Mus musculus: one gene and its partners. The protein of the gene in region 1 interacts with the protein of each later gene in a pairwise test. Links are inferred from orthologs where the notes say so. Each region holds a gene or a part of one and is shown in the gene's direction. Other genes may lie near its edges.

Region 1 (4,252 bases):
GGATTTCCAAGAGTCTGAGAACCCCACAACCCTGGCCTTGTCACAGGCCTGGGACCCCAGAAGGAGCTCTGGCTTTCCCACCCTGGGAGCAATGTCACTTCCTTACAGCCCAGCATCCACCCCAGAGGCAGTATGGGATAAGCCCAGTCAAACTCCCTGCTTCTGTGTCCTGAGTGGCCTGCAATGTGGATGCTGGGAATCCATCTCAGGTGTTCTGGAAAAACATCCATTGCTCTTAAACAGTGGTCTATGTTTCCAGCCCCAGGAATGGATGTTGATAATAGGGACAAAGCTAACAGGGTCCAGAATGCACCACAAGTTGTCCTGAAAACACCCGGCAGACCTTTCATCTAGACCAGGCGTCCTAGTTTGCTTTCTACTGCTGCGGTGCGTGAGCACCACGATCAAAAACAACTTGGGGTGAGCACCATGATCAAAAACAACTTGGGGAGTCTATTTCATCTTGTGATAGATCACAGTCCATCACAGAGAAGAGGCAGGGTAGGGGCTCGAAGGAGGAACTGAAGCTTGCTCAGGGTTTTGTTTTGTTTTTTTTCATACAACCCAGAAGCACCTTCCCAGGGGTGGTCTTGCCCACAGTGGGCTGCCATCCACATCACTCATTAACCAAGAAAATATCCCCACAGGCTTGCCTACTGACAGGGTAACTTTTCAGTTGAGGTTTTCAGATGACTCTGGCTTTTGTCAAGGCAACAAAAAACTAAACAGCACACACAGGGTCTGATGGTCAGTAAGGTGAGAAAGACCTTGCACTTTTTGCCTCTACCTCCCGAGTACTGGTACACTACCCTGCCCAATTCACTAGGCCCTAGGGATTGAATGAGGGCACCCTCAGTCAAACACCGTACCCCTGAGCTACATGCCCAGTCCTTATCATTACATGCATGTGTTTTTAAACAGCAAGGGGTAGGAAAGTGAACATGATAGGGTCTGCATGTGGAATTCAGGGGCCCTCCTTGCACCATGTGGGTCCTGGGGATTCTTCTCAGATCGATCACCGGGATGGGTGGCAAGTGTCTTTACTCTTTTTTGGTTTGGTTTTTTTTTTTTTTTTTTTTTGGCTTTTTCGAGACAGGGTTTCTCTGTGTAGCCCTGGCTGACCTGGCACTCACTTTGTAGACCAGGCTGGCCTCGAACTCAGAAATCTGCCTGCCTCTGCCTCCCAAGTGCTGGGATTAAAGGCGTGCACCACCACGCCCGGCTGTTGGACCCTTAATAATAAAAAAGTTCGAATAGTCCACAGGCATGGACTGAGGCAGGGTGATTGCTTCAAGTCCGAAGCCATCCTGGGCTACATAGCTAAGCAGTAAGTAGAAACTATAATAGTTTGGGAAAACAGCTTGGGTACCTATTAATGCGGGGGGCGGGGGGGGGGGAGGGAATGGAGCGGAAGTGAGGCTGGACCAGACTGCGCATCATTGTGACAGTGGCGGGCGAGCCAGACCCAAAAGAAAGAACTTGGTTCAAAGACTGACAAGAAGAAAAGGATGAACAGGGAGTCCTTCGGTTGAACTCTCTCCTGCTTGGCCCTATTTTGTCAAGCAGAAGGAAAGGATTTTTGTACCGCAGAAGAAAGCTGCCGATAATATCGCGCCATCACCGCTAGCCCCACTAGTGCGCATGCACTCGATCCTCAGGTCCAGCCTATCCTCCCGAGAAGCTCTACGCATGCGCCAGCTCAAGGGTCTTCGTAAGGAGAGACCCGGGCGCCATCCACTCGGAGTGCGCTTGCGTGAGTACAAGAGCCTGAGAGGGCGGGACTTGCAGGAGGCCGGCTCATTTGCATTTCTGGCGGGAAAAGGCGCGTGTGAACACGCCTCTTCCGTGACATTCGCAACCGCCGTTCGTCGCTGGTGTCCCTCAACTGAGTCCCGACTCCAGGTACGCCCTGCCTGTGGCGACTTTCATGGCAGGTTCCCCGGTAACATCACCTGCCAGCTCCTTCAAAAACGCCCCAAGTTTTGAGACAAGGTTTCTCTGTGTAGCCCTGGCTGACCTGGAACTCACTCTGTAGACCAGGCTGGCCTCGAACTCCGAAATCCTCCTGCCTCTGCCTCCCGAGCGCTGGGATTAAAGGCGTGCGCCACCGTGACCGGCTTCCTCAGGAAAATTCTAGTGGCAACTTCGGCAATCCTGTCAGACTCTTGAAACTTCCGGTTGCTTTTTGTTGCTTGTTTTCTATTTTTGTTTGAGACAGACCCTCCAAGTGCTGCCCAGGCTGGCCACGACCTCATGATCCTCATTCCCCAGTTTTAGGATTACAGCTCTCCCAGATGTGCCCAACTGCAATCTTCTAGAACTTTTGAAACCTAACACTTAATCTATTTTGTTTTTGTGGGTAGGGTAGGTGTTTTTGTTTTGAGACAGGGTTTCTTTGTGTAGCATTGACTGTCCTGGAACTCTCTCTGTAGACCAGGCTGGCCTGTGTGCTTCTGGTTCCCACGTGCTGGGATTAAAGGTGTGCACCACCACTGCCTGGCTTTTGTTTGGGTGTTTTTGGTTTTTGTTGTTGTTGGGGTTTTTTGTTTGTTTGTTTGTTTTTGAGTATTTTGCCGGCATGTTTGTATGTGTGTCAGGTATGTGCCTGTGGAGACCAGGTGGTTTTGTATCCCTCTGAACTAAAATTGCAGATGAGGAGGAGTTCACATGTGTGTAGTGGGATTCCAACCCATATCTATCTGGAAGAGTAAACTGTTAGTCCTCTTAACGACTAAGCTACCCTCCAGGGACTCTCTAGGGCTTCAGTAAATTGCCCAGACTCTACTCAAAACCTTGGATCCTGCTGCCTCAGCCTCCTGAGTGCTGGTATCACAGGTGTAGCCCACCACGCCAGCCGCTAGGATCTTCTAGATATCCCATCAGAGTCTCCCTCAAAAACCTGTCAGAGACTTTTCCTCTGAAATCTTGGTGGAGATTTGGTGTTCAAGTCCTATCTGATACTTTAGAAATCTGTAGTTGCCCTACAAGTTCCGCCGGGGACTCTGAAATCTAGTGACACCCCAGAAATGCAGCCCTTGAATTCTAGTCCAGGGATCCCCTCCAGACTTCCTCCATGTTTAAAACCCACAAGACACTCACTGGCCACCTGATATCCCTTGTTCCTCAAGATTTTGTCCGAGTTTCCCCTTGAAAGAGTCTCAGAAAGCCTCTTCTTTCCCTGGTGCCTTCTAAAAGCCTCTGAGATGGACAGCAGGAGGATCCCCACTAGCTGAAGACCAGCCTGCTTTACACAGCTTCAGAAGGCCCACTACAGCTAAAGCTACATAATATATATTTACTAAGTCCCTGTCTCCAAAAGCCAGATAATAATGTCTCCAGAAAACATTCGGCTGCCGGAATACAGGCAAGGCAGAGTGATGGCTGCATTCCCTGAGGAAAGGGAGAGAGGCTGCTTCTCTCCCCTTCGGTGACAAAGATATAGGCTGGATCACTCCAGATTCAAAATAGATTAAGGCGGGCTTACGAGGAGGCATCAACCTCCACCCACCTCACACGTGGAGATCAGTGAAGTCACACATCCAGGCTAAGCTTAGCAAAGGTGTTTTATAAAGCTTAGACGGGGAGTGATAACGTGCCAGCTAGGGGCTGGGATTATGTCCTTACATGGTCAAAAGCTGAGACCCCGGGGGCGGGGGGGGGGGGGGTTGGCACTTATGGGTGGATAGCTGGAAAGTGGAGAGGAGAGGTGTTAGCCCCAAGTTTTGTCCTTGTGGGCAGAGTTGAGGGGAGAAGAGCAAAGGAGGTTTCTTAGCTTTTGCAGGGGATGAGCAGGGGTTCCAAACAAACAAAGGGGAGCCAAGCAGGAGGAAACCCAGGCTCTCTCTACCCTTGGCCCCAGTCCCTAGAGGGACTACTGACAGTGCCTCCTTTTCTCCTGAAAGTGACTGGCCAGTCGGGCGTGGTGGCCAGCACTAGGGAGGCAGAGGCAGGCAGATTGGATTTCTGAGTTCGAGGCCAGCCTGGTCTACAAAGTGAGTTCCAGGACAGCCAGGGCTATACAGAGAAACCCTGTCTCAGGGAAGAAAAAAAAAAGTGACTGGCCAGGCTGTAATAGAGGCAGGACAGCACTGTCAGGGTGCAGAGGAGGGAGTCCCTGTGACCACAGAAGCCTGTGAGAGTCAAGCCCACTCATAAATATAGGCCTTGGGAGTGTCTGTAAAGATGTCTCAGTGGTAAAGAGCACTGAGTTCAATTCCCAGCAACCACATGGTGGCTCACAACCATCTGTAAT
Region 2 (4,046 bases), on another chromosome or scaffold:
GCTACAGTGTATTCCTATACATAAAATAAATAAGTAAATATTAGAGAGAGACTGCCTCATCCAGTTTTCTCAGTATATACTGTAACTATAAATTGACAAAACTTCAAGGGTCATGCTGTGTACTTTTATAAAGTCATTATAAAATTAGGAATCCCATAACAAGTAGATCTAAAGAGAACGGTAAAGTAATGGAAATCTCTGCTCCAGCATGCCGTCCTAGCACCCACAGATCATCGTAGGTATGTTGGAGGCAAACTACAAAATAGGAACATGTGATCCAGGTTTTACGTCACTAGTTATTGTGTGTTAGGTCTGAAAGAAACCGGGGACAAATGGCTAACTGAGGTGCCTATTGACCATCAAAGTAGATGATGGCCATGCTCTCAGCAAGTACCTGTTACAGAGTCCTGACTCCTCAGCTCTTGCCCACTACCCTAGACCTCTCTAACCCTGCCCAAGCCCCTGCCTTCCCTTCCCTTCCCTCCCCTCAACTCCCCTCCCCTTCCCTTCCCTTCCCTCCAACTTCTCTTTGCCTATAAAACCCAGACATCGTGACTACGTGCTGACATCTGACATCGTGACTACGTGCTGTCTGCCCTCTTGGTCTTTTGTCTCCATCTCGCCTCTCTTCATCTCTTACTCTGCCCCTCTCTCTTTCCTCTCATGGCTCTATTCTGCTGGACATGTTCAACCAGACGCTTCCATATGTGCTTTCCCTCACATTTACAATAAGAAACTCGTCAACAATACCTAGGAGTGGCCATGTCCCCACTTTCATTTATTGTGCATCTTTTGTTAGATTGACCTCGGGTAGTCAGATCATGTTTGCTATACCTTAGGCATCTGGTGAATATGACCTCTTATCATTTCCTGAAAATTACAGATCTAGCCAGGAGGCGGTGGCACACACCTTTAATCCCAGCATTCGGGAGGCAGAAGCATGAAGATCCCTCTGAGTTCCAGGCCAGCCAGAGCTACACAGAGAAACCTTGTCTGGAAAACCCAAAAAACCCCCCAAAAACAAACAAACAAAAAAACCCAATCCAGATCCACTCACTCCCCAGGCTTCTAAACCACGCCCATATCCTGCTTAACTAGGAAACCTCCTTGAGTGACATCTTTCTTGGTTGGCCAAGGGGCTAAATTCAGGTGCCCTACCTGTCCCTGTCCCCAGGAGTGTGAAGCACAAAGGCACAACCCCCGACTGCGTAATCACTCAGTCTCCACCCCTGGGAGGTTCCCACCCAGCTCTTATCCCGGAAGTCTGCGGAACAGAAGTCCGGAAGTTCGAGGGGCTGTTCTCTCCCACTCATTCTCCTACAAGTCCCTCGTTGTCCGCATAGGTGCGTGTCCTACAACTTTTCGGGTTCCGACCCGCCGAGCCCTGTGCGGGTCATCGCTTGCGGATCTGGACCAGGCGCAAGGCAAATTGAGGAAGCCGGGCGTGTGCACTCCGGAGGAGGAGCCAGCGTAACGGGCCGCTAGTGGAGCTTGTTGGTAACTGAAGCCAGAGGGAGGCAAGTTATGTGCCTAACTAGGATTCTTGAGGATGTAGGGTATGAAGCTTGATTGCCCCTGGGAATCCAAGGAGCCACTCAGAACTGGGGCCTTGGGTGTTAATCTCCAGACGTCCTGCCGCAGTGTCCCATTAATTCGGCGCATTTGGGCCATTGTTAGGTAGTCTGGCGTCAATAACAGGGATCTGACAGCTTATGAATGTAGAGACTCATACACGATGGTACTTTCACTTCCCGTTCTTGGTGGGAAGAGTTGTTTCTGGAAGATTCGGGTAAGGTGCCGGAAGCCTGAGTTGTGTGTGTGTGTGTCGGGGCGGGGGAGGGGGAGGGGGCTTACTAATGGAACAACTTAAAGATAAGAGTTCAGTCAAGAAAAGGGTTCACAAGACTGGGGGCTTGGAAGTGAGTTCAGACCAACACCAAATTTGTGAGCTGTGTAGCCCCGATGCCCATACATAATTGTGAGTTAAGTGGGCTCATAAGAGAAAGGTGTTCGGGGTCTGCTGTGGACCTTCCCCTGGCCTCCTGACTGGACTAATGAGGTGCTGCCTATGTGCACTGGTTGCAGGCTTCAGTTGTGTTTTTCCAAGCCTGGTCGGCTGTGCAGTAGAGCCCAGGTTCCAAGAATGTATATGCAGGTGGAGACACGCACCAGCACCCGCCTCCATCTGAAGAGGGCTCCAGGCATCCGGTCTTGGTCCCTGCTGGTCGGTAAGGCTTCCCACCCCCCACCCCACCCCCAATCTAAAAAGCGACGTAAACAGCTTCTTTGTGTTCTATTAGAGGTTCTCAATACAAGGCCTTGATAAAGCATGTTTCATTAACCCTCAGGGTGCCTTTTCTTTCAGATGGCATGCAGGACCGACCCCCTTGCATGCTAGGCACACTCTAACACTGAGATACCCTCCCTGCCTTGCAAGCTGGGCACACTTCTTTAACACTGAGATGCCCTCCCAGCCTATCTGCTTTTTATGAGGTCACTATAGTTTTCCTTCTGTGTGACAGGTGATCATGGGTTCCCATCTTTCCTCTTCCCTGGCTCAGACCTCTTCATAAGCGCACTTAGCCTCTTCCTCCATCGCTGCCTGTCAGAAGGCTCTTGTATCTCAGGGACAGGTGCACTTGTGTTGGCTGGGCTGTACAGTCTGAGGTGAGGCACTAGCTGTGGCTTCAGCAGCATCTCTGCAGTCTGTCCTTATGATATACACATGCTTTTCTGCATGTTATGCTCGGGTGTTGTTATAATTCTGTAAGTAGTCTTCATCCCTCATCCCATGTAAGCAATACCTACCTCAGGGTCATTTGTGCGTTTGTCATTTGTTTGCAGACAAGTCTGGTGAATGCCATGATGGGATATCTTGCTTTTTATTTAATTTTATTTTTAAACTATGTGTGTATCTATATGGGGGTTCTATGCAGGTACGTATAGGTGCCTGTGGAATCCAGAAGAGCATTAGCTCTCTTGGAGCTGAAGTTGCATGAGGTTGCGATGGCCTGACATGGGTGCTGGTGCTGAGTACTGAACTGGGTCCTCTGCAAAAGTAGTATATACTCTTAATCAGTAAGCCCTCTTTTCCAGTCCCCTTCTCCTCCGTTTTGAAACAAACATCTTAGCTGGCTCACCAACTCTGTACTAGGTAGCCTCTACCTGTTGCCCCTGAACAAGCTGTGCTACCATGAGACAGCTATAGCACTGTGAAGAAATGGGTCTTCCCTTGGCTAGTTAACAAGGTACTCTCTCCCTCTCTCTACAGGAATATTATCCACTGGCCTGGCTGCTGCCTATTACAGTGGAGGTAAAGTATGTTCTCCCCTTCAGCTTCCTTGCACTTGGAAATGAACAAAAAGCAGTCTTGGTGTGTGTGGCTTTGGGGTGGCCTTGTGTGGGAGATGATCCCAGGCCATGTCTTGTATCTTAAATCTCTTACTGTGTTACAAAGTCCTCTTGTAAAGCTCTTTAGCATTTGCCTGTCACCTTGCAGGGAGGATGTGTCCCATCTCCATGGCAAGGCTGTATCGATCTACCCATCCTCTAGGTGGAATTAGGCAGAGTTTGGGGCTTAAGTAGCTCCGGTGACAGAAGCACATTACCTAAGCCTCTAATCTGAGCCAAAAGAAAGGTTGGGCTGGGAAGGACCACCTATGGACATCACCTTGGCTCCTGAGCTAATGAGCTGATATACTGTCTGCTTGCAGATAGTCTGGGCTGGAAGCTCTTCTATGTCACAGGCTGCCTATTTGTGGCTGTACAGAACTTGGAAGACTGGGAGGTAAGATGGAACAGTAGGACCCTTCCCGTTCAGAAGCACCTGCCCCAGCTCAGAGGCATTCAGTTACCTGGACTCAGCCCTTCCCTTGATTTTGCTTGTAAACATCTCTGGACTTTTCTAGAAAAGCTACTCACAACAGTTTTCACTAAGGTTCTATGTAGTGTGTTTTGTTATGTTGCAGGCTTGCCTCAAACTCAAAAGAAAGCCAATTGCCTCAACCTTCTGATGGGCATAAAACACCCCACTTGGCGCACAGTAG
Region 3 (3,500 bases), on another chromosome or scaffold:
TGAAGGAGGACTGGAGGACCCTAGGGGACCAGCACAGAGAGCTGGAGAGCCAACTGCATGTGCTTCAGTCCAAACTACAGGTACCAGGCCCGGCAGTGGGAGAGGAAGGGAGGCAGAAGGGGGGAGAGGGGTCTGCTGAGAAAGGAGTCTCCTAGGTTGGGCCTCAAAGGTTGGATACACGTAACAAGCAGCTTTCAAGTCTTCATCCACTGCCCACTTAGTACCAGACTCACTGTTTTGCTCTGAATCATAAGTGCGTATAGAGGGAATGCCTACACTGTCCATGCAAATGAACTAAGTACCCACTGGAAAGACATTAACCAAATACAAATGCCTGAGTTGGGGCATTCATTGGGTTGATTGGCCTACCAATTGCACACTATTCAAACACCACCCCAGCAGGGCACTCAGTGCATAACTGCCCATTGTTTTGTACATAATAAATGTTACTGGTTTATTTACAGGTACTAACACATCCTGCTGGTGTGTTTCTTAATAAATTTCAGTAAATTCTTGTCATGCTCAAAAGTTCCTACACTTTCAATCTGCCACCTTAGAAAATCTAATTAATCTACATTAATTAATTAATGTAGATTAATTGATTCATTTATAATTAATTTAGGGTCTTTTGTTGCATGGATTAAATGTGACTACTCACACAACATGTGTGGCATAGTCTGGTACATATGAGCACTTCACTCGGGTTAGTAATTACATGGAGGCCTGACATTCCACGCTCCCCAAAGCATAGGAATTAATCCACTTGGGCCAGTCAATCTTCTGGCTAATGAACCACCCCTCAGGAAGGCAGATTCACTTTAAGCCATGCCAAAGAAGGAAAAGTAATTATTCTTTTAGTGAGATCATGTACTTCCCCTTCCTAGAAAGCCTGAGCCTGGTGTGGTCACTCACAGAGTCATGGCCACGCTACTTGGTCAAGCCTGACCAGTCCTCTGAATTTCTCAGAAAAATGTAACTTTTCTTTTTCACATCTTCTTTCTTCCTAACCCTTGCTGAAGCCTAGGTGTGCTTCCACAACACTCCTGGCTTTCTCACTCTTCTTTGATGTTACCCTCTCCGCATCCCCTTTGCCATATGGCTGCGTGCCAAACTGCCGAATCCCCATCCCTAACTCAAAAGGCATGACTTTCTTTCCCTCTTCTCCACCTTTATCCTCCAGGCAGCTGCTGACATTCACAGGATTCCCAATCTGCCTCTGTTGTCATTATTACTGTTTTTGGCTGTTTTGGTTTTTTTTGTTTTGTTTTGTTTTGTTTTGTTTTTAGTCTTCTTCAGAATCTGCTCTTAATATTTTTAATGTTAACCATCTTTCTTATTTTTATTCTCAAGATTCTAATTACATTTCTCCCTCCTTCTCTCTCCCTCCAAGCCCTCCCTATCTCCCTCCTAGCTCTCCTTCATGTTCACAGCCTCTTTTTCATCAATTATTATTTAATGCATATGTGTGCATGCATATATATCCCTGAATATAATCTGTTGAGTCTATATGTTACTTGTATGGATATTTTCATTACCTATAGTTCTCCGTGTAGGATTGAGGCCTCATGGGCTCTCTCCCTCATCTAGTTTGGCACACCCATTGGTGGCCTCCTTTTCCCTTCACATTTGGGCAGCCATGTTGGTGAGACTTTATGGGTATTGCTTCTGACATTACTAGGAGGCACAATCTCACAGAAAACTCCCTGATCTTACAATCTTTCTGCCCCCTCTTTTGCAATGTTCCCTGAGCCTCAAGTATGGAGTTATTTTATAGCTGTATTCATTGAGACCAGAATCCACAGGTATGCATTTTGATTGATAGTGGTTTTCTGTAGTGGTCTCCATCTGTTTCAAAGAGAAGTTTCCTTGATGTGTTCTTAACAAATCTAAGAACTCAGAGAGGAGACCCTATTTCCCTAGTAACATATGGCACCCCAGGTGAGCCTCCCCAAAATCTCCAGTTAACACATAGATTTCACATACTTAGTTTGAAACTTTGAAGATCTGCCCTAAGAGTGAATCTTTACAATTTCCCCAAACATGAATCAGGAAAATATATATATATATTTGATGAAAGAGGGTGTGAGACATTTAGAGGCACAAATTTTACTGGCTACACACAGCATCCACATCTTAACCTCTGCTCTCTTTTCTCATCATGCATAAGGCAATTCTTAGGAAAGTGTTTTGAGGTTTTTAAACCTTAATTCTTTGTGAAAATAGCCTTAACTGCCCCTCTCCCTCAACAACTGGTCATGCCAAAGTAAAAAGAAAGTAAAACATCTAGAAAATTCTGGCTTGATGTGGAGATCTGTCAAGGCATCGAGACATACATATCCCCATAAATATCAAGTCAGAGGCACTGCCATAAACATGCAGGATAGGGCAGAACAAAGAGAAGGGGAGAGCTTCCATTTCCTGACACCCCATCTCAGTAATCCTACTGTGTCCTGTTCCATGGTACCTGTCTGCTCTGTCGCCAGCCACACTGACCTGCTGCTCTGTGGCTCCTCTCCCTCCTCTTTGCAGGGAGCAGACAGCAGAGACTCACAGATGAGCCAGGCCCTGCAGCTTTTAGAAAATGAGCACCAGGAGCTGCAGACCAAACTCGAGAGCCTGCAGGGAGACGGAGAGCAGCAGAGCTCTGAGACCCAGGACCTACAAGGTACTCCTCTTCTTTGAGGTCACAGGGTCATTAGAACCACAACTGAATGGGCTCAGAGGAAGGAGGCTATGGGGAGAAGCTTTGCTCCTCATTTGTGCTTGGTCCCATGATTTCATTTCTCCTTGAGGGAAAGGCAGAGAAATGTCAATCAACCAAAATGAACCTTAGTTGTCCTTCATCTGAGGACTCTGCATGCTCTCTCCTCCAGCTTGACCCTGTGGGCCATACCACAGCTGCTCCCATACTAGTCACATGCAAAGGCCATATTCCTAATTTGAAAGGGAAAGGTTAGTACAAACACAGGCAAGATGAAGGCCTCCTAGATGTGCCTCTGTGGGCTGAAAGGACCCACTAGTGTGTGTACACAATATTGTGATGTTCCTGTGTGAATGCTGGCCTCTCCCTTCAGATCTGAAAGACACCTGACACTCCCAGGTCACAGAGGACAGGACTTACCTCTCATTTCCACCCTCTGGTGCTCTCCTATTTCTGTTTGTATTCTTTCGCTTTCAGATCAACTAAAGAAGTCAGAGGAAGAGAAACAGGCCCTGGTGAGCAAAGTACAACAGCTACAGAGTAAGTTTCCTTTTCAGGGTTCAACCTGCACAGGTGGTTTCTGTTGCTCCTGACCACAGAAGACCTTCGAAGGAGGGAGGGCTGAGCCATGGAGGCTTCAGTGTGTCCTGTTTCTGAGCATCCTCGAGCACACTTCCTGCAAGGGGCTGGGCTGAGGGATCATCTGCACAACCCTCCACAAGTTATATGGTTTCTTTCCCATGTTATTACATTAGCATCTGTCCTTGTGTTTCCTTTCTATGTGTGTGTGTGTGTGTGT
Region 4 (4,138 bases), on another chromosome or scaffold:
TTTTTTCTTGTGCCAGGAAACTGAGCCAGAGGCCAGGGTCCTAAGGCAACAAATCTAAACTGGAGTAGTCAGAACTTCAAAGCTAAAAGTGTGCAAGGAGACACAGCATAGCAGAGATGAAAATTTTCACAGCAAGCACATTTTGCAATTCTTAATTTTCTCCATCTCTCTTCTCTCTCCTCATCCCTCCTTCCCTCTCTTCATTATTGCTTAAACCAAGCTCTCTAGTCTCTATCACTAGCTTAGTGGTCATTGAAGTGTTAGTAGCCACTGATTAATGTTTTACCTCCAGCCTTAGCGTTTTCATATGACTGATAGACTCTAAACCTAGGCCTTTTTTTTTTTTTCCCGAGACAGGGTTTCTCTGTGTAGCCCTGTCCTGGAACTCACTCTGTAGACCAGGCTAGCCTCAAACTCAGAAATCTGCCTGCCTCTGCCTCCCGAGTGCTGGGATTAAGGCGTGGGCCACCACGCCTGGCAACCTAGGCCTTCCTTAAGCAAAGCATTCTGTTGCAAAGAAGTGCAACTGAGGGCTGGTGAGATGGCTCAGTGGGTAAGGGCACCTGACTGCTCTTTGGAAGGTCCAGAGTTCAAATCCCAGCAACCACATGGTAGTTCACAGCCATCCGTAACGAGATGTGAACTCCCTTTTCTGGAGTGTCTGAAGGCAGCTACAGTGTACTTACATATAATAAATAAATAAATCTTAAAAAAAAAAAAAAAAGAAGTGCAACTGACTAAAAAAAAAAAGCTTTATTTAGTTTTATATATGTGAGTGCATTGTTACTGTCTTCGGTGTTCCTAACAGCTGAACCATCTCTCCAGCCCAGCAATTGTTTTTTTGAAAAAGGCTTCACGCCCATTCTTGCTGCAGACCTGCACTGTGGATCTCTGACATCGCGTGCACGTTTACAAACAATGCGAAGTCTACAGAAGTGGGATGATGAAGTCAGCCACGGCTTTAAGTCGAACACTAATCTTAACGATGCGAAAATGAGAAAGAACACCCTTCAAGAGCTGTGTTAATACAAATGGGAATTAACTCGGGGATAAGCAAGGCTCGCGCTCTCCACAGCGGATCCCGGGCAGTGATCATCAGTCCGTCGGAGAGGTGCAGGCGGCGTGGGTTTGCTCGGCGGCCTTCCTCCCTGCCAGCGCCCCCGGCGTCCCGCTTACCCGGCTGGACGCCGCATCCCTGTGATCCGTAGGGCGCTCACGGGCCAACCTAACGCCGCCGCCGCCGGAGAAGGACCGGCAGAGAAGCCGGCGAAGCGCTCTGCTTCCGGGCCGCAAAGCCGCCATGGCCCGCGCGTACGGCAGGATCGCGACAGTGGAAAGGTTGGCGTTACGGCGGCGTCGCAAAGCCCGAGCCGACGCGCGGCGAGGCCGACCGTGCGCATTCCCTGGGACGGACGCCGGGCGGCGGGGCCCGCGCGGGACGAGGAGAGGACAAGTTTTCCCCGGGCTCACTGCTGACGGGCCCGCTCTGCGAGGACGGCGACAACGCTGCGGAAGTGTAGGTGGCGGGGCGCGATGGCGCGTGCGGCCCAGGTGAGCGTGGGGCGAGGGCGCGAGCTCCGTTCTCCCGGCCTCGGGCGCTCCGCCGCCCTCGCTGCGCAGGCCCGCGCCCGCCGCGCGCCCATTGTGAGGTCAGGCGGCGGCGCGTCCGGCCGGGCCGAGACCCGGGAGCGGCCGCCGCGGCCAGTAGCTGCCGCCGCCTCCGCCGGCCCCTTCACCGGCTGCCCGGGTCAGACCTAGCCGGGAAGGGCGAGGGGGGATGCCGCTGGGGGCACCGCTGCGGTGCCGCTCCCCGTGAAGGGCCGATCTCCCACCTCGCAGCCCCCCGCGGCAGCCAAGACCGCCGCCGCCCAGACCTCCCGGGGTAAAAGCTCTGCGAGGGCCGGGCTTGGACCCTCCCGGGGACTGAGTTCTGTGGCCTGCCCGCCAGAAGTGAGCTGTTTGACAGAAACCTGAGAGCGTGGGAAATGCTCTAAGCGCACATACCGGGAGGCGAGTGACCGAGTTAATCGCAGTCGGCAGGTTTGGGCGGCGGGTATTTGAAGTCAGGGTGAGGATTTGGAAGTTTCGTAGCTCCTCTTTCAGAAAAGTAGAAAGTTAGCTAGCTGTCTGGACGAATGGTGCTCCTGTGAGTGTGGAAGAGCTACTGTTAACTTCCAAACTGGTTCCAGAGAGTAGATTAGGATGGGGGGGGGGGGGATCTAAGGAAATTGTGTTGCTAACCTGGTGGGTTGACTAGAATGGCAGTGTACGCAGCTCGCTCTCATGGTTTAAGACAGAATTCATAGGCCTAGACATCCACCCAGGCTGGATCATGAGGACCTTCTGTCTGTCGTTCAAATCCCTACCGTGTTCCCCTATTTCCGTTTTGCTTTGAATTCTTAGGGTCACCAAGTAGCCCATGGTGATCTTGAATTCGTAGTTCCCTTTCCTCTGTATCCCCGACGCTAGGATTGTAGGGATACACCAGCACACCGGTGAGCTTGCTTTGTTTTGTTCCTGTCCAGCTGTTTTCAGGAGAGGGAGTTGACATGTCACATCTTCCCTTTCCTCAAGCAACCTTTTACACCTTTGACGAAACCTTTTGTGTATTTTGGTGCATGCCCAGGTGCCAGAGTTTGGCCTCCCTGCCCGCCCACCATCATTTCCTTGGTGTCCTTTGACTTTGGCTTTTGAAGTGGGGCTTCCCATGGTCCTGAAGGTCCTCGGTTAGGCTAACCTGGGCTGGCCAGTGAATCACGAGATCCATCTATCGCCGTCTCCCCGGCACTGGCTTGCCTGGCTTTTCTGTTTTACTTCATGGGCGTTGGCGCTTCGCCTGCATGGATGTCTGTGCATCACTGTGTGCCTGGTGCCTCTGAAGACAGAAAGGGAATCAGATGCCCTGGGACTGGGGTTACCTGTGTGGTCATGCACTGTCATGTGAGTGCTGGTAATCAAACCCAGGTCCTCTAGCCAGCACCTTTAACCACTGAGCCCTCTCTCCAGCTCCGCCCCAGCTTTTTTTTTTCCACATGTGTTCTGGAATTCCAGCTTGGACACTTGATGAAAAATTATCTCCACAGCCCGAATGAGCCCTTTTAACAAGTGTACTAAGAAGGAGTGTTTAGAGTGGGTTCTTGTCCTGCAGAGACTAATACGTTATCATTCTTGCTATCTTTCAGTGCTTGTGAAACTGAACACAGAAGTATGGATATGGGAAACCAACACCCCTCCATTAGTAGGCTTCAGGAGATCCAGCGGGAAGTAAAGGCTATAGAGCCGCAAGTGGTCGGCTTCAGCGGCCTGTCGGATGACAAGAACTACAAGAGGCTGGAGAGGATTCTGACCAAACAACTTTTTGAAATTGACTCTGTGGATACGGAAGGAAAAGGAGATATCCAGCAAGCTAGGAAGCGGGCGGCACAGGAGACAGAACGTCTCCTCAAGGAGTTGGAGCAGAATGCCAACCACCCACACCGCATCGAAATCCAGAATATCTTTAAGGAGGCTCAGGCCCTTGTGAAAGACAAGATTGTGCCCTTTTACAGCGGAGGCAACTGTGTGACTGACGAGTTTGAGGAAGGCATCCAGGACATCATTCTGAGGCTGACGCACGTGAAGACCGGAGGGAAGGTCTCCTTGCGGAAAGCCAGGTACCGCACGCTCACCAAGATCTGCGCGGTACAGGAGGTTATTGAGGACTGTATGAAGAAGCAGCCGTCCCTGCCACTGTCTGAGGATGTGCATCCTTCAGTGGCCAAAATCAACTCTGTCATGTGCGAGGTGAACAAGGCCAGAGGGACGCTGATCGCACTTCTGATGGGCGTGGACAGTTCCGAGACTTGCAGGCACTTATCCTGCGTGCTGTCAGGACTGATTGCTGACTTAGATGCTCTAGATGTGTGTGGGCGTACAGAGATCAGAAATTATCGGAGGGAGGTGGTGGAAGATATCAACAAATTACTGAAATACCTAGACTTAGAAGAGGAAGCTGACAGTACACATGCATTTGACCTGGGACAGAACCATTCCATTATAAAAATAGAAAATGTTCTCAAGAGGATGAGAGAGATAAAAAATGAACTTCTCCAGGCGCAGAGCCCTCCTGAGTTGTACCTGAGGGCCAAGACAGAGCTGC
Region 5 (3,500 bases), on another chromosome or scaffold:
CTGTGCTTTGAAAGAGTTTCTTATTCACACGTAACCATTCTTCAGCTACTAGACTTACTGCTACCCACTCTCTCGGTTGTCACTATGATTGTTCTTACTATCATTGCTACTGCATTTGCTGTTTGAGCCTACGGTATCCTCTAGCTTTAAGGGTATCCCTTTCTTCTATCTTCCTAGGTTATTAGAGAATCTGCTTCCAGCCATGGACAATCTTGTCCCTTTAATACATACTACACACTTTTGTCACTTCCACTACATTAAAGTTGGTGCGCTTTGTTCTTCTGCGGTCCCAATATTAAAGCTTTCAGTTCTAGAGCCATCCAACAGGGTGGCCTCTCAACGGCTGACTGAGACCAAGGAGTCGTTCTGTTGAGAATCTCATATCTAGGAGGGCAGAAGCCAATTCAGTATCCTGCCGCGGCCATGTTTAATTTATTCTCTTGGTAATATGGGATGGTTTGGGTCTCCATTCTTTCATGATTGTTTATTCTAAGGGATCACTTTTCTTTACTCTGCAGCTTGTTTTCTTCCTTTACAAAGAAAATGATGCCATCGGGTTATTAACGCTTGGTGAAGTGCCCTCAGTGCCCAAGCATTTCTGTATGAATTTGTTGCCTAATGCTCACTGTACCTGTTGTTTCCCTGCAATTGCCAAGTACTGTAGTAGACAGTAATGGATTCTTCTATCTTCCACATCATCTCCAAGAGCGCAAGTTCTGTAAAAGTAAAAATAGATTAGACATATGGTAGTGTCTCAAACATTGGTTGGAAGATGAGTGAACTTCTTTAGACTCCCAGCTAATGGCCTCTACAAGCCATTGTGTCTATTCTCCAGGGTTTCACCTATGGCCCTCTCTTCCCTTTGTTCTTTGGTTTTCACCATTTGCTTATTATAGGAAAACATGCTAGGAAAATTCCGCCATCTTTCTGCCATGAGAACCCTTCCCCCACCAATTATCTTTCTCCCTCTCTTCTTAGAACCAAGTTTCTCTGATGGGTAGATGGTGCTATGTTTATGTCCTTTATTAAAACAAATTTCTAGTGTGCAACAAATGTCTTCCAAATATTCTTGTGTATCTGTGCCTGTTTTAGTGTTTTTTTAAGCAATCAGTAAATGATCAATAAATATTTATTGAAGAAAATGCATGCTCTACTTAAAAGAGGATGTGAAAAGAATTATTGTAATATCTGGTTCTGATTTTAATAGTTGATTTTAAGTGTTGCTATAGTAGATATATGTGGTCTGCAATGCGCTCAGAGGGTCTTTTTCAGCTTTTTTTTTAACTACTAAGGTTTAGACGTAGCTTCTGCTTTTGCAGTCCTACATGTGTGCCTCTGATCCTTGTAGGTGATGGAGCACCTCCTGGCAGCTATGGGAACTATGGCTATGCCAATACTGGTTATAATGCTTGTGAAGAAGAGAATGACAGACTCACTGAAAGTCTGAGAAGCAAAGTAACGGCTATAAAATCTGTAAGTACAGAACCAGTGCCATTCACATTGTAACTCATAGGTTTGAACTTAATGTCATCACAAGAAGGGATTCATTTCAGAATGGTGCACTGAGGTCAAAGTGCACCAAAAGTTCAGACCATTCATTAAATAAGTTAAAAGATACAGTATTCTTGCTAAATTTTTTTTCTCAAACCATACTTAGCAAAATCTAAAATGTACCATACATTATATGCCATAGGTCCAATGGTTCCAGGCATGCTTTCTGTATAATTTTAGGTTATAGGAAATGCTAACTTGTAATTTTCCCTACTTGTTGTTGTAGTAAAGAAAAAAATTTAGAATAATTAGTCTAGACTTACGATCAAAGAAATGACATATTTTGTAAGGAAAATATTAAATGTGTATGTGTGCATTTGACTTAGTCCTGTGGTACTTGTATGTTGTAAAATGTAAGGAATATACAGGTAAATACATTTATATAAGTAAAAGAGAAAATGTGCTAGAATAAGAGAACCAGAGAATGTTAACAAGTAGGTTGAATATTATAAAGAAAAGACGAGAGAAAATGTCACTGTTAAAAGAATGAGACATTTGAAATTTGTTTTCCAATAATTTCACTGGTCAGAGCATTGGGGAATCCAGTGAAGTAGCCCTTCCAGCATTTTCTGTTAGTGGCTTTCTCACTTCCATCTTTGATCCTCATTTGAATTTGGGTCTTCCCATGTTTCTTAAACATGGCCCTGACATTTATGTGTAGACCCATGGGAGAATCCTTGGACCTGTATCATTCCCCTTGATCTTCATAATGTTGTCACAGCTATTGGCAAAATTTCGTTGCAGCAGATCCTGCCCTCTCAGAAGTCTTTGGATTCTTCTGTTACTGCTCTGTGGATTTATTGCTCTCTCTACATGTTCTTCAGAGAATGGCCTGTCCTTCAGAGCTTCTCCCCGACACATCCAGAATGCATATGGGTTTACGGCCAGACAAATGAGAGTTCTCTTTTGTACTCTGCATACCACTGTGGCCCTATTCCATTTTTTTAAAAACTCAAACTGCTTTTGGTACTGTTGCCATCTTCCATCTTCCGGGAAGATGGCAGTACTGTATCTGCCCCTCCCCAGGCTTTCTCTCAGTACTACATCCAGTGTTAGCTCACTCCCTATAAAGCAAAGATCATTTGTGACACACATTCAGTGTAGTTCCTTCTCAGCAGGACTTGGTAAACTTCTGTTGAAGGAATTATACAAGATGGTTTTAAAAGTATGTGCCATTGGTTTTCCATGGCAATAAACATATTACACAGTTGTGCAGCATTCAATAGAAATTCACATTGTCTCATGTAATTGGTATTTAATATCAGTCTTTGGAAAGTTATATTCAGGTTGTACTCAAAATAGTGTTTTGATATATGGTATTATTTCCAAAGTCATCTTAACTAAAATGATTCAATCTATGGACCTAATAAGGTGGACTGTTAAAAAGTTAAGTTAAACAATGGGAAGGACATAGAATTGAATGTCTTAAACCACAAACAAGGGAGCAAATTCCTCCAGTTGATTAGGACAATTCTGTGTTAGAAGAAAGCTGTGATATCCTGGCGAGTTCTTTCCTTGGCACGAAGGTCATGCTCAGAGTAGTTGGGTAAATTGGGATCCTGCTTTATCATCTGAGCTGAGAAATTTGGGGGAAAACTTCATATCTTATTGCTATAATATTAATATAACTTCATAAAAGTATTATGTATGCTTTTCAAACAGACTAAATTTAGAAGAACCTTTATGGTTACACACAAAAAGTTTCCGTAATTGTATTTAGTCAAGTAAGTGTAAACCTTTGGTGACTTTGTTGTATAAGTTATGAAGTATGGTTTTGCAGAGCATCTATAATTAGTTATATTGTTGTTTGACATGCTCAGATTCTTTCAGTATAATTTTAGGTTATATATAACTTTTAAGGGAGTTCACAATTTATTATATTAAATCAAAAGTCTTTAAAAAATATTCTAGACTTAAATTCAAAGAAATGCCTTATTTTTAGGGGACTA
Region 6 (4,198 bases), on another chromosome or scaffold:
AGCTTAAATGTGGGCTTGGCAGTCCCTGGTCAGTACACATTGTTTTTTGCTCATACTGCAGTAGGGCTGAGAAAAGGGTTCAGACATCCCCTAGGCAGTGGCTATAGGGTAATGGGAAAGAGAACACGCCCCTGCACCTTTTTTGTTTTGTTTTGTTTTGTTTGTTTGTTTGAGACAGGGTTTCTCTGTAGCCGTGGCTGTCCTGGAACTCACTCTGTAGACCAGGCTGGCCTCGAACTCAGAAATCCACCTGCCTCTGCCTCCCAAGTGCTGGGATTAAAGGCGTGCGCCACCACTGCCCGTCACCCCTGCACTTTTATCAGGTTCCTAAAGAGCTGAGAGCTTTCTCACAGATGTTCCTGGGTAGTAGAGTGTAGTTAAGGAAGGGGGAAATGGGAGAGAAAACATAGATTTTTACCTCCTGGCTGAGTCACAGGGACCACCTACATAAGTTCCTAGGTTCTTGTGTCTCAGGACAAAGAATTGTATCAGAGATGCATAGTTAGCAATAGAGGCAATTTACTTAAAAAAAAAAAATTTACAAAGACACTCAGGTAGGGAATGGGCTAGTGATCTGGAAGAATGCATAACCTGAAGTCCTTAGCCATTACCTGCCTTCTCCAGGCCAAGTTTTTCTCTTGCATGCTGTTTGTTATTGAGTAATCCAGGCAAGGAAGGGATCCCAGGCACTATCAACTGGCATTGATTGATTGATTGATTGTGTCTGGGTGTTTTGTGCACTACACGTGTGCTGTGGTCGTAAGGCCAGAAGAGGGCGTCAGACGTTACTGCAATAGCTGACTGTTGTTAGCTACCACGTGCCAGAAACTGATCCACAGTCCCCTGAAAGAGCCGTTAGTGCTCTTAAGTACTGAACAATCTCCGCAGCCCCCTCATACCTTATTCTTGACGTCTCTCTACACATCCCTATTCTTTTGCCACACTTGCATGTGTTACGAGTTTGGCAATCGGAGGCGGAGTTGCATATTCAATTTGAAAACCAGGAACTTTATAGAAACCAGACAAGCATAAAACCTGACTGGGAGGAAAAGGCGTTTTAGGGCAAGCACATCTACAGACCTTCAAAATCTCTGGATTTGTCAGCCGGGCAAGTTCCGGTCAGGAGAGGGGGGCAGTTGACGCCGCGGAGGCAGAGGTAACCTTCGGACTGAAGGTGCACGAGTTCTGGTCTGCAGATGGGAAAGGAGAAAGGTTAAGCTGCTCAAGTCATTGTAAAGTGTGAGAACTGGGGGACTCAGGCCCCCAGCGGCCGAAGCCACGGTGAAGGGCAACAGGGCCGAGGCCAAGGGTTGGGCCTCTCAGGCTGTGAGGGCGGGATCGTCGCGCGAAGCGCTCTGGGAGTGGTAGGCGCTTTCTTTCCGCTCTCCTTCAGCCACTCGTTCTGGGAGCCCAAGGACGTCCAGGCGGTGGGCGCAGCGACTCGCACTTTGCGACTTGAAGACTCTTTCCTAAGGCGGATCCCACCCCCTCGCCCTCTTGCGCGCGGCAGCTTACAGCAGGCTTCCGGCGTGAGGTATTGTGGGCAGTGTAGTCCTTCTCGCAACCTCCCACCTCGTCCGCGCGGCTCACGGGACTACGTTTCCCTTCGGCTCCCGCGCGCCCTGAGCCGCGTCGGCTCCAGCCCCCGACGAACCGAGAGTCTCCAAGATGGCCGCGTGGGGAAGGAGGCGTCTGGGTCCGGGCGGCGGCGGCTCCCGAGAGAGGTAAGCTGGGCTCGCGACCGCGGGCGAAGGTCGACCGCAGAGCCGGCGAAGCCTCTGTGCCACGCGCGACTCCGGATCGTGTGCCCGCCACGCGCGGGGCCCAGTCCGCGGGGGCTTAGGTGTGGGAGGAGCGGGGCGGCGCGACGGCCAGGAGCGAGGGGAGCGCGACTCGGAGGGGCGGCGACCCGCAGCCGGGTGGGCGGTGAGCCAGGGTGAGTAGCTGCGAGGGCCGCCACGCTGTCCTACCGAGCGTCCTGTGGGCTCCGGGCCGCTGGCTCGCGCACGTGGCCCGCTCGGCCTGGGCGCCCGGTGTGGCGTGGATGGGCTCCGGGGAGAGGAGGAGGGTAGAGGCTCGCGGCGCCGTGTGCTTTATAGGGGCGTTTGCTGAGAGCGGCAGCGTGCCGGGCGCGCCTCCAAGAGCCTGAGCCTGGCCGCCTTGTGAGCGAGCAATCGTCGCCACTTTTTGAGGGTTCTCTTCGAGCACTTCTGCCCTAAGTCCTTTGTAGTGACCTTTCCTACTGAATGCGTTTGGGGGCGCTAGGGGTTTTGTTTCTTCCAGTGATTTCCGGATGACAAGAGTAGTTGACGTGTTTCGGGTTGAACTTGTAGCCTTTTCCTTCTGGGAATTATTTTTAGCTAATAGGTTACTAGAAGCTGTTCAACGATAAGAAGTTTGGGGAGGTGGGTGTATATCGGTGGCGCTACTGGATTAACCTGCCCAGTCGGTCTTGCTAAGTCCTCCGCATTTTACTGTGGATGTCAGAAAAAGGAAAAGAAAAAAAAAAAAAGCAAAGTTTGACTTTTTCCCCTCCGTTTCCAATGAGTACTGTCAACCATAAAAGTTGTGTCTCAACTAATCTGCGTTGTTCCTTTTTGACTGACGCATCCCATGTTTCTTGCTATTGCATACGACAGCTTTTCCATCCCACACTAGTCTTCCTGCTTGGCAGAAGTGGTAGCCAGTTTTACTCCTGAGTTCGGTTATGCTAAATAATCCGTTCTGCGTTTACTGTGACATGGAAAAGCAGTGGCGAGGAGTGTTTGTTTGTTTGTTTGTTTGTTTGTTTTTTCCCTAACTCCCACTTATTTCTTAGATAAGAACAGCCAGAGAGGTTATCTTGTTTTCCGAGTCCTTAAATCCCTAAGGATGCTTTCAGGATTTTAATTTCAGCCCAACAGAAGGGAAGAACTTTCCTAATATTTCTGTTTGCTTGTTTTTAGAGCCACGTGTGTAGAGTCATTAGAGTTACTGTGTAGCTCTCTCTGGCTGTTCTGAAACTCACTCTATAGACCAGGCTGGCCTTGACCTCACAGAGGCCCGCCTACCTCTGCCTCCCAAGCACTGGGAATAAAGGTTTGGGCTACTGCACCCTGCCATACTCTTGTTCTTGGACACAGACTGAAAGGGCCAAACATGCATGCCTCAAGTGTGAGACAGGAGTCTTGCTAGCCTACCTAAGAAAATGGAGAATTTTTCCTTTGTCTTGAAACAGATATTAATTAAAAGCAGTTTGTCAACCAACCGCCCATAGTTTAGTCCAGGCCTTGCTGGTTGTGCTGCAGCAGCCTTTAAGGGAGTTTAAGTCCAATGCAGACAGAACTCACTGTGAAGCTAGATAGGGAGTGGTTCTCCTCAGAGCCACTGGTGCTTGTTTCTCACTGAAGTCTTAACTAGGTAAGGTTATCGTCCTGGGTCCTGTAGGTGTTCAGGTTGTGACCTTTGCCCAGGAATTGAAGGTTCTTCCCAAACATGCAGGTGCTGTATGTCTGCCAGGGATGGGCGTCTGATTTTATGATTTGAGAGTTGCCATCTGCCCTCCTTCTGGTGCCTGGAGGTTACTCCTCTGTCGGCCTTTATGGGAAGGGCCCTTCCAGAGAGTTCATTCTCAGAACCCCATCTCCGTCAGGCCTCCCACTCTAGGCTGTGTGTGGAAACACACTCCCTCCTGACTAGCAGACTGACTTCTGGGCGCACCTCCATTGCTGCTTGGTGGCCTGACAGGATGGAGCAGACCAGAATAATGTACACTCAGCACCCATAGATTGTGAGCACCAAGTGTTGACTCTGTGACACAAGCTGTTTGTGCCTTCTAAGTGACTCTGTTCCGTGTCACATTTGGACTGACTCAAATTTCAGCTTCATGTTGAGAGAGAGCACTTCCAGAGTTCTTCACACCTTCCTGCCCCTGCCCTGTGCTGAAACCAAAGGGGATGCTGTGTGCTTTGTGGCAAGGCTGGAATGGGCAGTGCTTTGAACAGACACTGTGTTTGCCAGTGGCTGCATACTCTGGTGCATATGTTATATTTAAGGCCCCACTTTGTGCTGGTTGTCAGCTTAGTTTGCAGTGGTTCTTGCTGTGCCTGTTAAGTCCAGAAACACAGGCTAGTACTAGAGCTGAGTGACAGCAGTTCAGTAGCTGCTAGCCATGTGTGGCGATTACATTGAAGTTAAAATTAAGTACAGTGAAAAGTGT
Region 7 (3,786 bases), on another chromosome or scaffold:
CAGGCCACAGCCTGCCAGTGTCTTCCTGCATGTCTCAGTATACTTGCTTTTTTATCCCTTCCTGGGCTGGCTCATCCTCTCTGCTTTGCCATTCCTTTTGACCTTTAACCCCTTCCTAGACCCGACCTGAACTGTCGCCCCTTCTGCGGACCTTTTCCCCGAAGCATGAACAGCTCCTCCTTCTAAGCGCTGAGTGGACGTGGTTTTAAACCTGTACCACAGTTTGACTGATGGCAGGCTGGCCGTTGCACACACAGCCTGTGTCTCTCCCCTCCTCGAGAAGGGATCTGAGGTCAAGAATGCATTTCTTGCAATGCAGAGGAAGCCAGTGCCTGCTGCACAGAGAGGTCCCCTGAGAGTGGAATGGGAAGGAACAAAGCTTAGACATCCTGCACCCCTTTAGCCACAAACCCTTTCCCATCAGTTCACAAGAACTCTCAGAGCTACTGTCTCATGATTTAGAATAGCAAATCTGTTGGATTGTTAGGGGCCATTTTGTGTCATCTTTTGTATAGAGGTTATAACCCTGTTTGACTTATCAGCTAGATTTTGAAGTATGGGGAGGAGGAGGAGGAGGGTTAACCCAGGGGCCTGGCCCCCTTCCAGCAGGGCCACCTGATTACACTTTCTGTCTCTAGCTTAGACCCTTTCCACACGGCTCCATGAGGCCTGGACCAGGACAGAAGTGTCACTCCAGGTGACACGTCTAGTCTTTTATCCTAGGAGGCTATTAATTAGTCCAAGAACTGTGGTGCCAATTCTTGATCGGGCACCAAGGGAATCTCCCTCAACCTTCAGACCCCTTCAAGTGCTACACAGCAGAGCAGATTAGAGAAGGAAGCCGAGGCGTTGCCCTCCCTCAGAAACCCTCATGCCTGGTCTGTCTCCCCACCCTCCACCCCCCCTCTAAAAACTAGAAAAGAAACGCCTGGTGAGAATCGAGAACAGGTTAGGGCTCTACGGCACCCACTGCCCCTTGCACCCTATCTCAGAGTCCCACTCCCTTCCCCCAGATACTAGGCCAAGCACCCAGAAATGATGAGCCACCAATTCTGAGTGGCCGCAGTTCTCTCAGCCCTAAGGACATCTCACAATACCCAGTTGTGCCCTTCCCTTTGGGTCAGCCCCAACTTGGAAGGTAACATCACCACCACAGAGGCCTGCCCCTCCCAGCCCCACACTCTTCTCACCCCAAAGCCTCGGCCTAGGGTGGCAGGAAGGGAGGGAGGGAGGTGCTGGGCACAGGCTGTGAAAAGCAAACCCCCTCCTGCTCAGAGAGGGCAGCCGCCCTGCGCCAGGATGCACGCCGGCCCGGTGACCCCGGCCATGCAGTCCACCGAACCCTGGAGTCCTAGCTGGGGCACGTTGTCCTGGGACTATTCGGGCTCGGGCTCCCTGGACCAAGTGGAGTTGTGCCCTGCTTGGAACCTGCCTTACGGCCACGCCATCATCCCAGCGCTCTACCTGGCGGCCTTCGCCGTGGGCCTGCCGGGCAACGCCTTCGTGGTGTGGCTACTGAGCCGGCAGCGCGGGCCGCGGCGGCTGGTGGACACCTTCGTGCTGCACTTGGCGGCCGCCGACCTGGGCTTCGTGCTCACGCTGCCGCTGTGGGCCGCGGCAGAGGCGCGCGGCGGCCTCTGGCCCTTCGGCGACGGCCTGTGCAAAGTCAGCAGCTTCGCGCTGGCGGTCACGCGCTGCGCGGGCGCGCTGCTGCTGGCGGGCATGAGCGTGGACCGCTACCTGGCGGTGGGCCGGCCGCTGAGCGCGCGCCCGCTGCGGAGCGCGCGCTGTGTGCGAGCCGTGTGCGGCGCCGCCTGGGCTGCGGCGTTCCTGGCGGGTTTGCCGGCCTTGCTCTACCGGGGACTGCAGCCGAGCCTGGACGGCGTGGGCAGCCAGTGCGCCGAAGAGCCCTGGGAAGCGCTCCAGGGTGTCGGGCTGCTGCTGCTGCTACTGACCTTCGCGCTGCCGCTGGCTGTCACCCTGATCTGCTACTGGCGCGTGTCGCGCCGCCTGCCGCGCGTCGGTAGGGCCCGGAGCAACTCCCTGCGCATCATCTTCACCGTGGAGAGCGTCTTCGTGGGCTGCTGGCTGCCCTTCGGCGTCCTGCGCTCCCTCTTCCACCTGGCGCGGCTCCAGGCGCTGCCGCTGCCCTGCTCCCTGCTGCTGGCTCTGCGCTGGGGTCTGACTGTCACCACCTGCCTGGCTTTCGTCAATAGCAGTGCGAACCCGGTCATCTACCTCCTGTTGGACCGCTCATTCCGCGCCCGGGCCCGGTTCGGGCTGTGCGCGCGCGCCGGGCGCCAGGTGCGCAGGATCAGCTCGGCCTCCTCGCTCTCCAGGGACGACAGTTCGGTGTTCCGGGGCCGGTCCCCGAAGGTGAACTCTGCCTCGGCCACTTGGTAGCCTCCCCGGGATGGCGCAGGTGGAACGGTGCTTCAAAGAGAGGAACCATGTGCTTGCAGATGCGCCAGGGGACTGCCCATCAGCTTTCTCGGAGCTGGCTGTTGGGGCTGGCTGTTCTCACAAACCGATGGGGAAGGATGGGCTATTATATTAGTTTTCTCCAGGGCAAGAAAAGCTGTAGACACTCACCTGGAGAAGCGGGTTCACCTAGTAGATGGGAGGGAAGTGGGTTCTGTTCTCTGCTTCATTCTGTGTAATTCAGCCCAAATATCCAAACCAGACTCTCAAAGGTCCTTCTTGCTCCTGACTGTTCTTGCCCCTACAAAAGCCATTGTCCTTTGAGGAATTTCTTCTCCTGGTCAGCCCTCTAGCAACACCATCTCAAACACCTCTCCCTTCCCCTCCCCTCCCTCTTCCCCTCCCTCTCCCTCTTCACCTCCCCCTCTCCCTCTCTCTCCCTTTTCTCCTCCCCCTCTATCCCCTCTCCCTTTCCCTTTCCCGCTCCCCTCCCTCTTCCCTTTTCCCTCCCCCTCTATCCCGCCCCCCCCCCTTCTCTCCAGTCATCACTATGTTATCTATATTGTTTCTCATCCCCAATTCGGGTTTTCGTTTTCAAAGGCTCACGAAAGACATGGAAACTAACCCTAGCGTGAACAGTCCTGTGAGCAATTTGGTCCTTCCCACCCATTACCTCACACTGGTGTGGCAACCCTTCTCCCATCTAGAGACACCTGTGGGACTCGCCCTGAAAGTAGTTCTGGCCTTCCTTCTGAATGCTGGCATCTGAATTTTTTCAGTGGGTGTTCAGATTTTCCCTCACTCAGCCAGGGACCCCAGGTTTTTCTGTGAACACACATCTCAATAAAAACTTTTGTTGGCCCTAGTTGGCAACCGTGTCTTGATTTGAACATCGAGAGCGAGATGGGTGTCAGAAGGGTGTGTTACACAGTCAGACAAAGCTCAGCTCAGTAGTTCAGGCCCTTCAGGGTGATGGTTTGTGTGACCCTGGTACTGGGAGCGCCAGCTGCACCTGCGAGTGTGGTACTCTCAGCGGGCAGAGGATGACTTAGTCTCATTCTTTTAAAGGACATCGCACATCGAGATAGTGACAAGATGAAAGGAAAAAATGAGGAAGATGCACGGCATCTGCCTGCCAGGTGCCATTTCAAAGAAGAGATGTGTAATTTTGATTTTTAAATGTGGTCCAGGCTCCCCACCCCCACCCCCACACTCTGGGAGCTTTTCCAGTACAAATGTTTAAAATTAACCGTTTCAGTCTCTGGTTTATCCTTTGAGGCTTCCGGAAGGCTTAGAAAGTAAATGTTTTTACTTGAGAGGATTTAGCCTACAAACATTTTGATCAGTGAGGGAAAGACATTCCCT

The links.
Region 2: the proteins of Kash5 (region 1) and Cybc1 interact in binary tests that used the Homo sapiens proteins (3 or more experiments, as listed by UniProt). The two-hybrid records come from large-scale screens. The link is inferred for Mus musculus from reciprocal best matches to the Homo sapiens genes KASH5 and CYBC1.
Region 3: the proteins of Kash5 (region 1) and Traf3ip3 interact in binary tests that used the Homo sapiens proteins (3 or more experiments, as listed by UniProt). The two-hybrid records come from large-scale screens. The link is inferred for Mus musculus from reciprocal best matches to the Homo sapiens genes KASH5 and TRAF3IP3.
Region 4: the proteins of Kash5 (region 1) and Bag5 interact in binary tests that used the Homo sapiens proteins (3 or more experiments, as listed by UniProt). The two-hybrid records come from large-scale screens. The link is inferred for Mus musculus from reciprocal best matches to the Homo sapiens genes KASH5 and BAG5.
Region 5: the proteins of Kash5 (region 1) and Bet1 interact in binary tests that used the Homo sapiens proteins (3 or more experiments, as listed by UniProt). The two-hybrid records come from large-scale screens. The link is inferred for Mus musculus from reciprocal best matches to the Homo sapiens genes KASH5 and BET1.
Region 6: the proteins of Kash5 (region 1) and Tmem11 interact in binary tests that used the Homo sapiens proteins (3 or more experiments, as listed by UniProt). The two-hybrid records come from large-scale screens. The link is inferred for Mus musculus from reciprocal best matches to the Homo sapiens genes KASH5 and TMEM11.
Region 7: the proteins of Kash5 (region 1) and Gpr25 interact in binary tests that used the Homo sapiens proteins (3 or more experiments, as listed by UniProt). The two-hybrid records come from large-scale screens. The link is inferred for Mus musculus from reciprocal best matches to the Homo sapiens genes KASH5 and GPR25.

What each region holds. Positions count from the first base shown.
Region 1 is NC_000073.6:45,202,093-45,206,344, reverse strand, and holds the start of Kash5 (protein KASH5), read left to right. Parts: upstream 1-1,452; 5' UTR 1,453-1,641; coding exon 1,642-1,753; exon of another isoform or gene 1,754-1,902; intron 1,903-4,252. UniProt on the Homo sapiens protein: As a component of the LINC (LInker of Nucleoskeleton and Cytoskeleton) complex, involved in the connection between the nuclear lamina and the cytoskeleton.
Region 2 is NC_000077.6:121,226,510-121,230,555, reverse strand, and holds the start of Cybc1 (cytochrome b-245 chaperone 1), read left to right. Parts: upstream 1-1,246; 5' UTR 1,247-1,517; intron 1,518-1,615; exon of another isoform or gene 1,616-1,712; coding exon of another isoform or gene 1,713-1,789; intron 1,790-2,085; coding exon of another isoform or gene 2,086-2,143; coding exon 2,144-2,228; intron 2,229-3,271; coding exon 3,272-3,313; intron 3,314-3,713; coding exon 3,714-3,787; intron 3,788-4,046. UniProt on the Homo sapiens protein: Functions as a chaperone necessary for a stable expression of the CYBA and CYBB subunits of the cytochrome b-245 heterodimer. Controls the phagocyte respiratory burst and is essential for innate immunity.
Region 3 is NC_000067.6:193,181,047-193,184,546, reverse strand, and holds part of Traf3ip3 (TRAF3-interacting JNK-activating modulator), read left to right. Parts: coding exon 1-80; intron 81-2,529; coding exon 2,530-2,665; intron 2,666-3,178; coding exon 3,179-3,241; intron 3,242-3,500. UniProt on the Homo sapiens protein: Adapter protein that plays essential roles in both innate and adaptive immunity. Plays a crucial role in the regulation of thymocyte development.
Region 4 is NC_000078.6:111,710,457-111,714,594, reverse strand, and holds the start of Bag5 (BAG family molecular chaperone regulator 5), read left to right. Parts: upstream 1-1,338; 5' UTR 1,339-1,551; exon of another isoform or gene 1,552-2,068; intron 2,069-3,182; 5' UTR 3,183-3,207; coding exon 3,208-4,138. Other genes in the region: Coa8 (cytochrome c oxidase assembly factor 8), read right to left, coding at 1,177-1,302. UniProt on the Homo sapiens protein: Co-chaperone for HSP/HSP70 proteins. It functions as a nucleotide-exchange factor promoting the release of ADP from HSP70, thereby activating HSP70-mediated protein refolding.
Region 5 is NC_000072.6:4,080,431-4,083,930, reverse strand, and holds part of Bet1 (BET1 homolog), read left to right. Parts: intron 1-1,348; coding exon 1,349-1,473; intron 1,474-2,295; coding exon of another isoform or gene 2,296-2,499; exon of another isoform or gene 2,500-3,500. UniProt on the Homo sapiens protein: Required for vesicular transport from the ER to the Golgi complex. Functions as a SNARE involved in the docking process of ER-derived vesicles with the cis-Golgi membrane.
Region 6 is NC_000077.6:60,876,239-60,880,436, reverse strand, and holds the start of Tmem11 (transmembrane protein 11, mitochondrial), read left to right. Parts: upstream 1-1,398; 5' UTR 1,399-1,668; coding exon 1,669-1,724; intron 1,725-4,198. UniProt on the Homo sapiens protein: Plays a role in mitochondrial morphogenesis.
Region 7 is NC_000067.6:136,258,414-136,262,199, reverse strand, and holds Gpr25 (probable G-protein coupled receptor 25), read left to right. Parts: upstream 1-1,273; 5' UTR 1,274-1,326; coding exon 1,327-2,403; 3' UTR 2,404-3,286; downstream 3,287-3,786. UniProt on the Homo sapiens protein: Orphan receptor.